Arabidopsis thaliana: one gene and its partner. Each later gene encodes a partner of the first gene's protein in a complex. Each region holds a gene or a part of one and is shown on either strand. Other genes may lie near its edges. A codon is read from its position in the direction of its gene.

Region 1 (6,928 bases):
AATACGCATCGTTCTTGGCTTTGCCTACATTTCCATAAAAAAAATTGGTTAATTTCAGAAAAAGAAAAGAAGAAATGAGAAGAGAAGAGAAAGGAAACGTTACTGGTGAGGGCTTGGAAGAAGAAGAAGAAGAAGAAGAGACACGAAGAGATTGAGCAAGCTTGTTGAGATTAAGCTCCCCCATTCTCTTCTTGTTCTCTTCCACCCTATTCAAACGAATCTGTTCATAGCTTAGCTCCGATTCCACCATTTCTCTTAGGAATCCGAAACAGAGATAGAGAAACGAAAGAGACAGATCCAAGTCTTGCTTGACTCTTCAATGCGCTTTTGAGTGACCGTTGGGTTTCTTCTTTCACCGCTATGTATGTGTTTATACTTCTCCAATTTTTTTTTTCTTTTTATGTAATAAAAATCTTAATCATTGTGTCTAATCAAACAAATTGAAATTTCAAATTCTCAACAGTGGAAGGTCTGAGTAAGCCTCCATCGTGATACGTGAAGCAGGTATGGGCTTCTTAAAAGACGTTTCTTTTTTTTCCCTCCATAATTAACAATTATTTTGAGATCCCTTAATATTTTTAACTATTTTAAGAAAACATTTGATTTGATCAGTAACGCTTTACAATAATAATAAAAAAAATACTCAAGAAGTTTGTTTATCCATAAACACATTGAAATCAAAAGAATCTACAAAGACAAATCCTGTGGGTTACTAAGGAATAAAGAAACAAACCTGAGACTTTCCTACACCGTTAGGTAAACAAGAACAACCGTTAGCTAAATGATCCCATGTTCTACTGTTGATGCTACAACCTTTAGTTAGATGATGAGCTTTTTTTTCTGGGGGATTTTCACTTCTGTATTTGAATATCGCTTTGGCAGAATTTCCACAATCCATCTTCTTGCTTCTTCAGAATATATCGGATCTTGTAAGTGCTACAAGAAATTTACAAAGGCTGCATCAGTGAAGAAGATACCAGCTCAGTCCAAAAGTAACCCGAAAGCGAAATGTTTTTTTTTACCTATAATATTTTGCGTTTTTGGGCTGAGATTCATCAACTAATTCTGCTGCTTCCTCCAGAAGAGCTTCGATTTCTGCAGCCTCACCAGCAATACCATCTTCGAATATATGTGCTTGCAAAACCTCAAGATGAAGCAGAACGAACCTCCAATAACAGGATTTCGCCTCTGCTGTTTGTGCCAATGTTTGCCACTGCATTAAACAAAGAAATATTGACTCTACCTAAACATTGATGTTCAACTGTAGTAAACTAACATAATTAAGTAAAGGAATAATAGGAGATGTATAGAAACAGTAACCTGGACAAGCATGGATTCATCAAGGACTTCGGAAAGGCTATAAACTTGATGTGTTGGTCCAAGAGCTTCAGCCTTAACATTTTCCCACTGTCTCACAAGCTCTTCCGCTTCTTCTGTATCCATTGGTCTCTTATGCAGTTCTGACGCAGAATGAGACAATGATGTAGCTGATTGACCAGAGCTTTTCAGATACAGGGCATCCGGATGTTCGCCACAATGCATCTTTAACATGTCAATGAGCACTTTGATGTTTCCCACGATACCATTTCTATTCACAGAATCAAGGTTTTTTCTGAAATTCCCAGACTCTGTTTTCCACAGAAAAGAATCTGATTCTGAATGCGGCCTAGCAGAAACCGATATAGGCATACTCTGTAGTCTACCAGACCTAATGCCTGATAGCTTCAGAGAGAAGAACACGGTGCAACCCAGTAAAGCAACAACAGATACCCTTCCGATCAAACTGCTTTGAGAGAGCCACTCATCCCATATTTTATTTTTGTGTACACCAAGGTTCCTCTTCAGTTGAACAGATGGCATACTGGCACTGGTTTCATCATTATTCTTGGCTGATACCACTGGGCTCTGCAAATCTGTTGGTGTCAACTGCTCGACAGCTGTATAAAGATGTTGTGACGAGTTCACGAACTGTGTTGTGGAAAGTGGTCTTTGGTTCGTCTTATGATTCATGATCGAAGGTGACCCCATTTTCTTGTTTTCTGGATATTTCTTTTCAGCCCGGAAAAAATTGGCCTGCAGAAAGTTGTATATATGATTATCTTTCTGCATAAAAATAGAACTGCTATACAGAATCTTCCAGTAGTGATCTGATTCTTACCAAAGATGGAGAACAACCCCTTGTGTCTGGAAAGTTAGCAAGCACGGACTCCATTAGCCACGCTTCCTGGTCAATTTTATAGGTAGCATGTATGAAGGTCGCTATCAATCTTTCTATGAAAAAAAATCAGAGCTAGCGAAGAGATGTACATACTTGCAAAATTTCCAAATTAAATTTAGTGCATGAACCCAAGGGCTTACTCAAACAAATATTAAGATTTATGTGTATGTACAACCAATCGAAAAAGAAAATGTTAACGGCAGGCATACACAATGCTGTTAAAGCATATTCTATGAATTTAACTACCATCCACTAAATGTATCTATTTCCATTGTTTCAATTACAGCCTGAAACATAGCTCAAACTTATTCATACTCCACTAGAGTTGATCATGCCATTTACATCAGGCATAGCCCTCGCTCTAGTCGTAGCAACAAATGAACACATATTCTTGGTAAAAATCATAAGGTTTACCAGTGAGGGAGTAGCAGAAGTACTTCTCGACTCTTTCCCCAAGATCGAATTACGAACGGCAGAGTCTGAATTTGATTCCAGCTGCTTAAGTTTTTCCAGGGCCTCTGCCTCGGAACCCTGTGCTATCCAACATGTAGGTCCAGTAGCACTTAACTAAATGAACAACGCAAGGATCTTTCGAAGCAAGTGAACTTGAAGTAAATAAGATGCACAAGCATAGTTGATAGGGAAAAAGAATAAAGAAAGCAAGAGGAAAAATACCTGTTTTAGAAGAAATGAGCAAAAAGCTTCCTCAAATTTCAGATCAACACCTTCTGATGCTATGAGACATTCGCATATCGTTTTTGCTTTATTAATCTACACAAGCATACTGAATGTTATGCTTTATAAGCAGATAGAGTAGAGAAGAAATGGACCAATCAGTCTAAATTTAACAAAAGGAAAGAAAACGAGATATACCGTTTCATTTTGCTTGCCTGAAAATCCAACAGCGATGTGACCAAGTAACACCATGTAGAAACAATTAAAATCAATAACAACTCTTTGATTGTGGGATTCCAGTGATTTTTTATTTTTCCGTGTAATGGCTAAATCATCCCATGGAAGAAGATCGACAATCTCTGTGGCCAATAACCTGCTAATTGCCTGGCTCAAAAAGCATGGCCAGTCTTGAATTTGACATGAAGCTTCAACACTAAGGCCCTGTCTGAGCAGTTCGCGTAGCGCGGCAATTGCACCTCGCCTCCTCTCTGCATTTTCTGGCGTGCGTGGCAGGCCCAGTAGATCCAATGTGCAAGGTGGTGCAAGCTCCTCTAGTGACTCCTCAATCTATAAATATCAATTTTAACCCCTTAAAACCCAATATGCTGGTAAATTATGCTTTTGGACAATACGTACTTATATGTGAAGCTCCTAAACATGATGCGATTTACAGTAAGGCATGATCATGCACTTTTAATAATTCAAGCCAGTAACAGGGCTAAAAGTAAACTCAGAGAAGCTTTATATATACTAATGCAAGACAGTAGAACCTGTTACCTGAGTTAACAATGCAAGTTTCCCAAGAGTAACTTTACTCTTCAGAAAACTTTGAGCACGAGCAAGAGCTTCAAATCCTTGAGAGACCTTGTTAACCTCGAAAGCAGCCTTGGCAATTGCACACTAAATGGAAAACAAACATATTAGAGATAGAAGAAGCAGAGGATAGTGAAAGTAGATAACTAGTTCCCATTCTTAGTTCATTTGATTTTACCTCAGCAAGTGCCATAGATAAGAATATATCATGAATATATGGCTTTGAATCAAGGTTCCTGAGAGCAGCCCGGCCAATATCCAGCACAAGTTTTTCTTGTCCAACCTGAAGCATAGTAGCAGAAAGATCAGTACAAAACATTTGCAGGGATAAAACGCAATAAAAGGTCAGAAGTAGTACCTCTTGAAGAAGGCATAGAGCACCAGGCAACCATGCCCACGGAATTCTGAGAGGAGATTTAGGAGCAATCTTTTCTTTTAGGTTACCAGCATATTCTGATTCAAAAAGAAGTTTATCCCTAACATCCATGAGAAGATCCTACACATTAAGAACAAAGTATCAAGAAACTGAAGCCACATTCCCTGTCCAACTCTAGTGATACTATAGGTCTTAACCTGGCGAGCTGCAGCAGCTTCCATTGTATAACCCTCTTCAGCATCAGTTTTTTTCAAATTTATAACCGACTTAACGACCTCGTCTTTCTCAGCTTGCTCAGAAACTCCGATAAGCTGCAAAATCAATACAATTAACAGTATCCTGGAATAATGTCTAACAAACGAAACGCTACATTCTTTACACTCTATTGCAGAAATGAACTATGATACAATATTAAATTGCCAAATCAATACATCCATCTCGTTCTACGCGCTAGAGACTACAAATTGGAGGAAAATGTTTCTATTTCAACAAAATTTAGAAGGATAAAAACAAGTTCCACTTGCACTTCAACGAGGAGCTAAGTAGCAAATCGCGAGAGATAGTAGTATCTACAGAGATTCCGAAAAGTAAGTCAGTCGGAGCAAAATACCTGGTAACACGTAACCGGGAGTTCGATTGTAGAGGTAGATGCAGCGAGAGAAGAAGTACGAGACGGCGCATTGTCGACGACATGGATACCACCACCAGCAGCATTCAACCTCCTCCGTCCTTCTCGCTGAAACCGCCGCAAAGATAAACCAGAACCGAAGAATTCACCGGATTCAGAACGAACGACGAGGAGACCTGAGATCTGAAGCTCCGGGCGATCTACGACGAAGCTGGTGCTGCGATTGGAGATTCCGCAAAGCAGACAAGAAGAAGGGAGAACTGGAAATGTGTAAGCTACTGGCATTGCGCAACAGCTCCAGAAAACGAACGAACCCTAGAAGAAGTAGAGTGAAGCTGGAATCATGGTACAATTTGTTGGATTTCTTCAGAGGAGAAAAAATCGGAAATTTGGTCTCAAGGCTTTTGAGTTTTGACAGTGATTTTTGCCTTTTTCTGAAAGTTTCGTCTTGTGACGATAATAAGGTAACCCGCTGGCCGAAAGAGAGGCTCTGCTAATCTAGGACTAGACGAGACGAGACGTGGTCACGTGATCACGCCACGTGGATAATAAAGAAACATCTGGAAGATTATTTTATCCGTCCCTGGACATGGGCCTAGCTCTCGGCCCATAACTAATGTGCGAGAGAAACTACTGCAAGCTCATCGCATGCTACCAGTAGTCTAGTACTGATCAAAGGTTTAATTTGTGTGTAAGAAAAAACTTATATATAATTTAAAATTTGTTTAAATCTGATCAATATGATTTTTTCTGAATCAAATACCTGGAAAGTATATGTCTGGTGTAAACTTTTAACTTGATCAGATTTTGTAATACTTTCACTTAAGTTTAATATCATGAAAAAAGATTTAAGATATTTTGTAGTCATTATATTTTTGGAGGATAGCAAATTGCAACACTCAAACACATTTGGCTATATGAGAACCACGTTTCCTTTCTTGCAAATCAGCACCTCTTTTTTGTCCCGACTTAAAAATTCAGAAAAATAAAATGCCAATTTAGTAAAATAGAGAATATTTTTCACAATAATTTTGTGTGTTGTACAAGAAATGAGGTATTTCATTTTATTTTATTTTACTTTTTTCCTCTACAAGCAAAAACACACAACTACACAAGGATAAAACCTCTTGCCGTTGGGTTTATTTAGCTTCTTTGCAATATCCTTAATTTCGTCTCCGTCAGTAGCAGTCTCCGCCGGGAATATTTTTTTTCCGGTAGCTATGCTCCGAACCGTCTCTTGTTTAGCTTCGCGCAGCTCGTCCTCTCTATTCTTTCGCTTCTTTCGTCAGTTCCCTCGCTCTTACATGTCTCTCACATCGTCGACGGCAGCTCTCCGTGTCCCCAGTCGCAATCTTCGCCGAATTTCCTCTCCCTCAGTCGCCGGTAGACGTCTTTTGCTCCGACGAGGTTTGAGGATTCCCTCCGCCGCAGTTCGCAGTGTCAATGGGCAGTTCTCTCGCCTCTCTGTTCGCGCCGTCGCCACACAACCCGCTCCACTTTATCCTGGTTGGAATTTTTCACATATACTTCTTTTTTTCAATCTGTTTGAAGTTTAATTGCTAATTGATTTGTTCTCTTAATTCGGACATGTTGATTTGTGGCACTTGTGAAATTGTGGTTCTTACTTTAGGATAGGTTGTGAATTGTAGATAGGTGTGGTCCGTGTGGTGCATTTTTCATCTCATGCTTTGTGTCTACTTTGTAATCAAATGGAGCCATGTGTAACCTCTGCTGATGCGTGATTTTCCTTATTTTTGGTTGTTTGGATTCAGATGTAGGTCAAGATGAGGCTGAGAAGCTTGGATTTGAAAAAGTGTCGGAAGAATTCATCTCAGAGTGTAAATCAAAGGCGATACTCTTCAAACACAAGAAAACTGGTTGCGAGGTGATGTCTGTGTCAAATGAGGATGAGAACAAGGTCTTCGGTGTTGTTTTCAGAACTCCTCCGTAAGTTTACTTCATAATAATTTTTACTCTCTGTAAATTTGACCTGAGTATGTATTAGGCAATTGAAATTGGTACCTAAAGCTTCACTCCTTGAATTTAACTAATTGAAATGGTCAAGTTTATCTCTACTCATCAAAGCTTTTTTTTTCTGATTAGACCTAGTCATTTCGTTTCTTCTTCTAATATATTGGTACTTGTAAAGTGGTCTAAGTTTTGGAGGTTACAACTTGTCAAATTACTTAACGCTTTGTTAAAAGTCGATATGAGCAAC
Region 2 (4,230 bases), on another chromosome or scaffold:
ATGTTCTTTTTCTTTCCTTAGTTTAAATACGAAAACGGAATGTGGCGATAATAACGGTTCCGTACAGTTTCATTTGACACGTAGGCTTTTAACAGTGTAACGTGTCCATATTTAGCTGCTTGTGAGACAGTGACCCTTAAATGCATCGGCGAGACTATGTATTAAACATTTAGAGTAGCGTGGTGAGTTTAAGAAATATTGGAAGAAAGGACCTTTCATAACCCTTTTATGCAAATTTCCATATACTATTCTTTTTTTTTAAGGTATGTTGATCTCTTTTAACGACTTGCATGTTTTTGACGTTTGTCAAAACTCAAAAGTAATAAAATGGAGTTCCATGGTTGGATTTTGGGATTTAAATTTGTTCTTTAATGATTATTTATGCAACAAAATCTTATAGGCTTCCAATGCCTATATAAGGTGGATCAAAAACTGATCTCGGTAAAAAAGACAGTACAAAACTTCGGTTCGAAACTTCCTACTCTAAAAGAAAACAAAACAAAAAATACAAAAATCACGACCGTTATTATATACTTATTGTGATAAATATGTAAATTGCAATTGATATCAAAGAGATACATTGCATGGATTGCAATTAAGTTTATAAGCTGCAGTGACGGATTCAGCAACACCTCCAGGAATAATATTATTGAAAGGAGAATGATTCAGCTCAGCCCGAATCACTGCTTCTGCGTCTTCACTTGTCACTTCTCTATCTCTCGTTACTTTCACATCAATCTCCGCGATAACGTCGCCGAGATTTGTCTTCTCATTATCTTCTCCTATTTTTTGGTTACGAGCAACCGCTTTACTTGCTACAGCGGTTACACCACCATCGCTTTCTATATCACCTCCTATAGCCCTAGCTTCCACCTCTTTTATGGCAGCCAAGTCGGTGGTTTCTACCGGTTTACGGCCGACATTTATCGCCGCTGCTTTGAGTGCTTCTGTCAATGTCGTTGACCTCCCGACTAGCGCTTCAGCCGCCGTGGAAATTTGTTCTGTTGTGCCTGCATACTGTTTCAAAAGGCCGAACCCGAACATCATACGATATCAACATGGTCACGTAAAATATTTCAAGTTAAAAGTTTTTTTACATTTTATCACCGCGGTAGAAGTTATACAATTCCTACTATGAGCTAGCAATCGGTAAAACGGTAAATTAAAGGGAACACCAACAAAACGGTACAAAATCTTTACCAATCTATGTTTTACCGCACTTGCTTACTTCTTTTAACTGTTCTGTTATCGTAAACGATTTTTCTTTTAATCGTGGCTAATTTTTCATTTTAACCTATTACCTGACCACAAGTAGTAGATTGGGAGAGGCTAAAGTGCTCCTCTACAGAGATATTGTGAAACTAGCACCATCTTTTGATGAACCCATCGTTTTAGAGTTCTTTGATCTTCTTTCTCTGCTTTGCATTATCTAATACACTTTCTGTTTTGTGTAAATTGATAAATAAGTAAACGGAAGTGCCGACAAAAAAAAAGAAAAAAAAAAAAAAAAACGGAAGATGACAATAGTAACGGTTCCGTAACAATTTACATTTGACACGTCGGCTTTCAACAGTCCACGTGTACAATACTTGTCTACGTATGCCGTTATGCGACCGTGACTCTTCGATGCATAAGAGAGACCAATTACTTTTTGGGCCTCAGAAGCTTCGTAGAGCCCAAACATTCTACCAAGCTTTGAGACACGTGCATAGTCCGTGCCAGCTGTTTCTTGTTTTAGTATTTCCGGGTCGGGTTTCACCCGTATCCGGAAATCAAATTCATCGGAGCGCTTAATTTGAGTCCACAATTAAAGTGAGAATTTTCCTGAAGAAGAAGAACTTTTGCTTTTTTTCTGGGTTTGCTTTTTTGTTGTGTCAATGAAATGGGAGAAATGGAGATCGAAGAAATCGAAGCTGTTCTTGAGAAAATCTGGGATCTACATGACAAGCTTAGCGATGAGATTCACTTGATTTCGAAGTCTCACTTTCTCAAATCGGTTAAACCTTCAAATAGATCGGAGAAGAGAAAGAATCCTCACGGAAATTCCGGCGAAGATAAGCGACCTGGTTATGTTTTCATCAAAGGATTCGCCGTCGATGATAACGACTCCACGATTCAGGAGGCGAAGAGTCTTAACGCAATTCGAACCGCTCTTGAGAACCTTGAAGACCAGCTCGAGTTTTTCCATGTAAGTCTCGTGTTTCTCCGATTGATTTTGTGGTTTTCGCTTCCTTGATATGAAGCGAAATTGGGAGATTAGCTTGTTATCTCCTTTGTTTTGTGCTAATTTTTGAAGATTGTTAAGCAAATCCTTCTACTAGATGACTATTCAAGTCCGAAATAGGTTGTATCTGCTTCTGAAGAAAGTGACTCATGATTAAGCCGATTTGAGGCAATTTAGGGTAAAAATTGATTGAGGTGTGTTTAGTTAGGGTTTAGATTTACGAATTAGGAATTTAGGTTCTGAACTGGATAGTAATTATCAGATTCTTACGAAAATTCTGAGCAACAATTTTAGACAGAAAATCATCATACAATGTAGTTCTGAGAGCATTGTTTATTGCAAACTCTTTGATCATGGAATTAAAGCAGGGAGAGGAATCTAGATTCAGGTGTTGTATGTGCATGAAGAATGATATGGTCTTATTTAAGATCAGAAGAAGTAGAGATAGATAAGCAGAATCCATTTCGCAATACATTATAGACGCATGTGTTTTATCATTGCCATAGATAATAGACCAACGAAGAAGAATATACAAGCTATTTTGCATATACACTCATTGGTTCTGGTCAGTCGCATATGTCTCGTTTACTATCTGAACCTGAAAGACAAGATGTAAAACTTCTTTCTCTTTGCTCTGCAGACTATACATACACAGCAGCGAACAGAGAAAGATGTTGCGATTGCTCGGCTTGAACAGAGCAGGATATTACTAGCAATGAGATTAGCTGAACACCACGGCAAGAACTATGGAGTCCTAGAGGAAGCTCTTGCATTTGTTGGGAGCATTAAATCCAACTCGCATTACGTTTCACCTGATCACCTCTACGATTCCTCTCGAAACCCAGACGGAGCAAACTCTATTCCAGATGGAATAGAGTCAAACTTTGTAATCAACGCCTTTGCCTCGACTTTCGGGTTTGCCAAGAGAGCACTTGGATTCAACCATGTGAAAGGCGTACTTGGAAACGCTGCTATATTTGCCATAAGCGTGGTCGCTATGCTACATCTTCACCAAGTGGCTACTAGTGAACATCATCTGCAGAAGAAAGAAGACAGATTCTACAGAAGCCAACAAAGGAAAACATACGGAAGAGATAAGTCTTCAGCTGACAGAAGTTTGGATCACTTGGACGTAATGATGGCTCGTGGTTAAGACCAGAGATCGAACTTGTCTACACGTGAGAAAACTAAAGAAGAGAAGAGATAATTGTTGCTCTCATAGGTTTCGATATTATCAGCAAAAGGATAAGAATTTGGAGGCAAAGTGTTGGAATTTTCTGAGCTCGTCTGATGCAAATATTGTTCCTTTCTTCTAATTTTGATTTTCAAACACTGTGGTTAATGTTTTGTTTGTTTTGTTTGGTTTTGTTGATTTCAAATGTGGTTAGGCTTTCTTGTAAATCACAAGATCTCTCGGCTATTCTTTAGTAGCAACTGGCAAATTCAGATTGATGAATGTATTGGGCCACTATCAGCCCATTCGCACCCCAGAACTATCCAGCCTTAGTTTGCTCAATCTTAGGCCCTTTTACTTTTGATGACAAATCACTCTAAACCGTAATAATTTGGTCCGGAAACAATATACAAAATACAGTACGAATACTGAAGAGGTTTATCGTCTAGTTTTTGTTATTCAAATTGAAGAAAGATAACGTTTTCTCGAAATTTTATGAGTTATATGACTTGTATACGTAGTTTAATATCAACTTTTTTTTATTCTTTCTTTGTTTCTACAAAGCCTGAATATCTATAAAGTATAAGGGTGTCAAAGCGGGAGAGTTTGTCCGGTGTATGTGAATTGTGATGTGAACAAAGCAAAGACAAGTGGGAGGACAAGTTATCAAGATGATAAAGGGGAAACTACAATGAGTCCAAATTGGTAGAATGAAGGAAACATGAATGTGAATATTACAAAATACTTTTCCTTAAGATCTGTTTTGTCTCTCTTTTTCTTTTGCTTTTGTACACATAGCTTTTTCTCTACACACTCTTAACGTTATAAATGG

The links. Proteins that work in one complex are often made in the same cells at the same time.
Region 2: the proteins of PARC6 (region 1) and PDV1 are in contact, whole or in part, in a crystal structure (PDB 6JZN), measured with the Arabidopsis thaliana proteins. Residues at the interface, in NP_188549.2 of Arabidopsis thaliana: Trp700 (codon at 1,407), Glu701 (codon at 1,404), Lys704 (codon at 1,395), Leu708 (codon at 1,383), Trp729 (codon at 1,213), Leu732 (codon at 1,204), Thr735 (codon at 1,195), Ala736 (codon at 1,192), Lys739 (codon at 1,183), Cys741 (codon at 1,177), Trp743 (codon at 1,171), Phe745 (codon at 1,165), Leu773 (codon at 1,081), Glu775 (codon at 1,075), Ala777 (codon at 1,069), Glu778 (codon at 1,066), Leu779 (codon at 1,063), Asp781 (codon at 1,057), Ala788 (codon at 1,036), Lys789 (codon at 1,033), Tyr790 (codon at 1,030), Ser792 (codon at 1,024), Tyr794 (codon at 932), Ile796 (codon at 926), Tyr798 (codon at 920), Ile815 (codon at 869), Ile817 (codon at 863); in NP_200140.1 of Arabidopsis thaliana: His264 (codon at 3,348), Leu265 (codon at 3,351), Asp266 (codon at 3,354), Val267 (codon at 3,357), Met268 (codon at 3,360), Met269 (codon at 3,363), Ala270 (codon at 3,366), Arg271 (codon at 3,369), Gly272 (codon at 3,372).

Annotation. Positions count from the first base shown.
Region 1 is NC_003074.8:6,630,877-6,637,804, reverse strand, and holds PARC6 (plastid division protein), read right to left. Parts: upstream 5,169-6,928; 5' UTR 4,996-5,168; coding exon 4,693-4,995; intron 4,394-4,692; coding exon 4,280-4,393; intron 4,203-4,279; coding exon 4,065-4,202; intron 3,990-4,064; coding exon 3,885-3,989; intron 3,794-3,884; coding exon 3,671-3,793; intron 3,461-3,670; coding exon 3,092-3,460; intron 2,990-3,091; coding exon 2,894-2,989; intron 2,750-2,893; coding exon 2,633-2,749; intron 2,225-2,632; coding exon 2,159-2,224; intron 2,074-2,158; coding exon 1,321-2,073; coding exon of another isoform or gene 1,258-1,320; exon of another isoform or gene 1,214-1,257; coding exon 1,023-1,213; intron 937-1,022; coding exon 852-936; 3' UTR 513-851; downstream 1-512. Other genes in the region: AT3G19184 (AP2/B3-like transcriptional factor family protein), read right to left, coding at 1-24, 104-250; PREP1 (presequence protease 1), read left to right, coding at 5,931-6,216, 6,483-6,657. UniProt on the Arabidopsis thaliana protein: Component of the plastid division machinery required for PDV1 localization to constriction sites. Involved in chloroplast division site placement. Required for the proper formation of FtsZ rings at the division site in nongreen plastids (e.g. etioplasts).
Region 2 is NC_003076.8:21,605,704-21,609,933, forward strand, and holds PDV1 (plastid division1), read left to right. Parts: upstream 1-1,706; 5' UTR 1,707-1,882; coding exon 1,883-2,188; intron 2,189-2,864; coding exon 2,865-3,377; 3' UTR 3,378-3,725; downstream 3,726-4,230. Other genes in the region: AT5G53270 (Seed maturation protein), read right to left, coding at 568-1,047. UniProt on the Arabidopsis thaliana protein: Component of the plastid division machinery.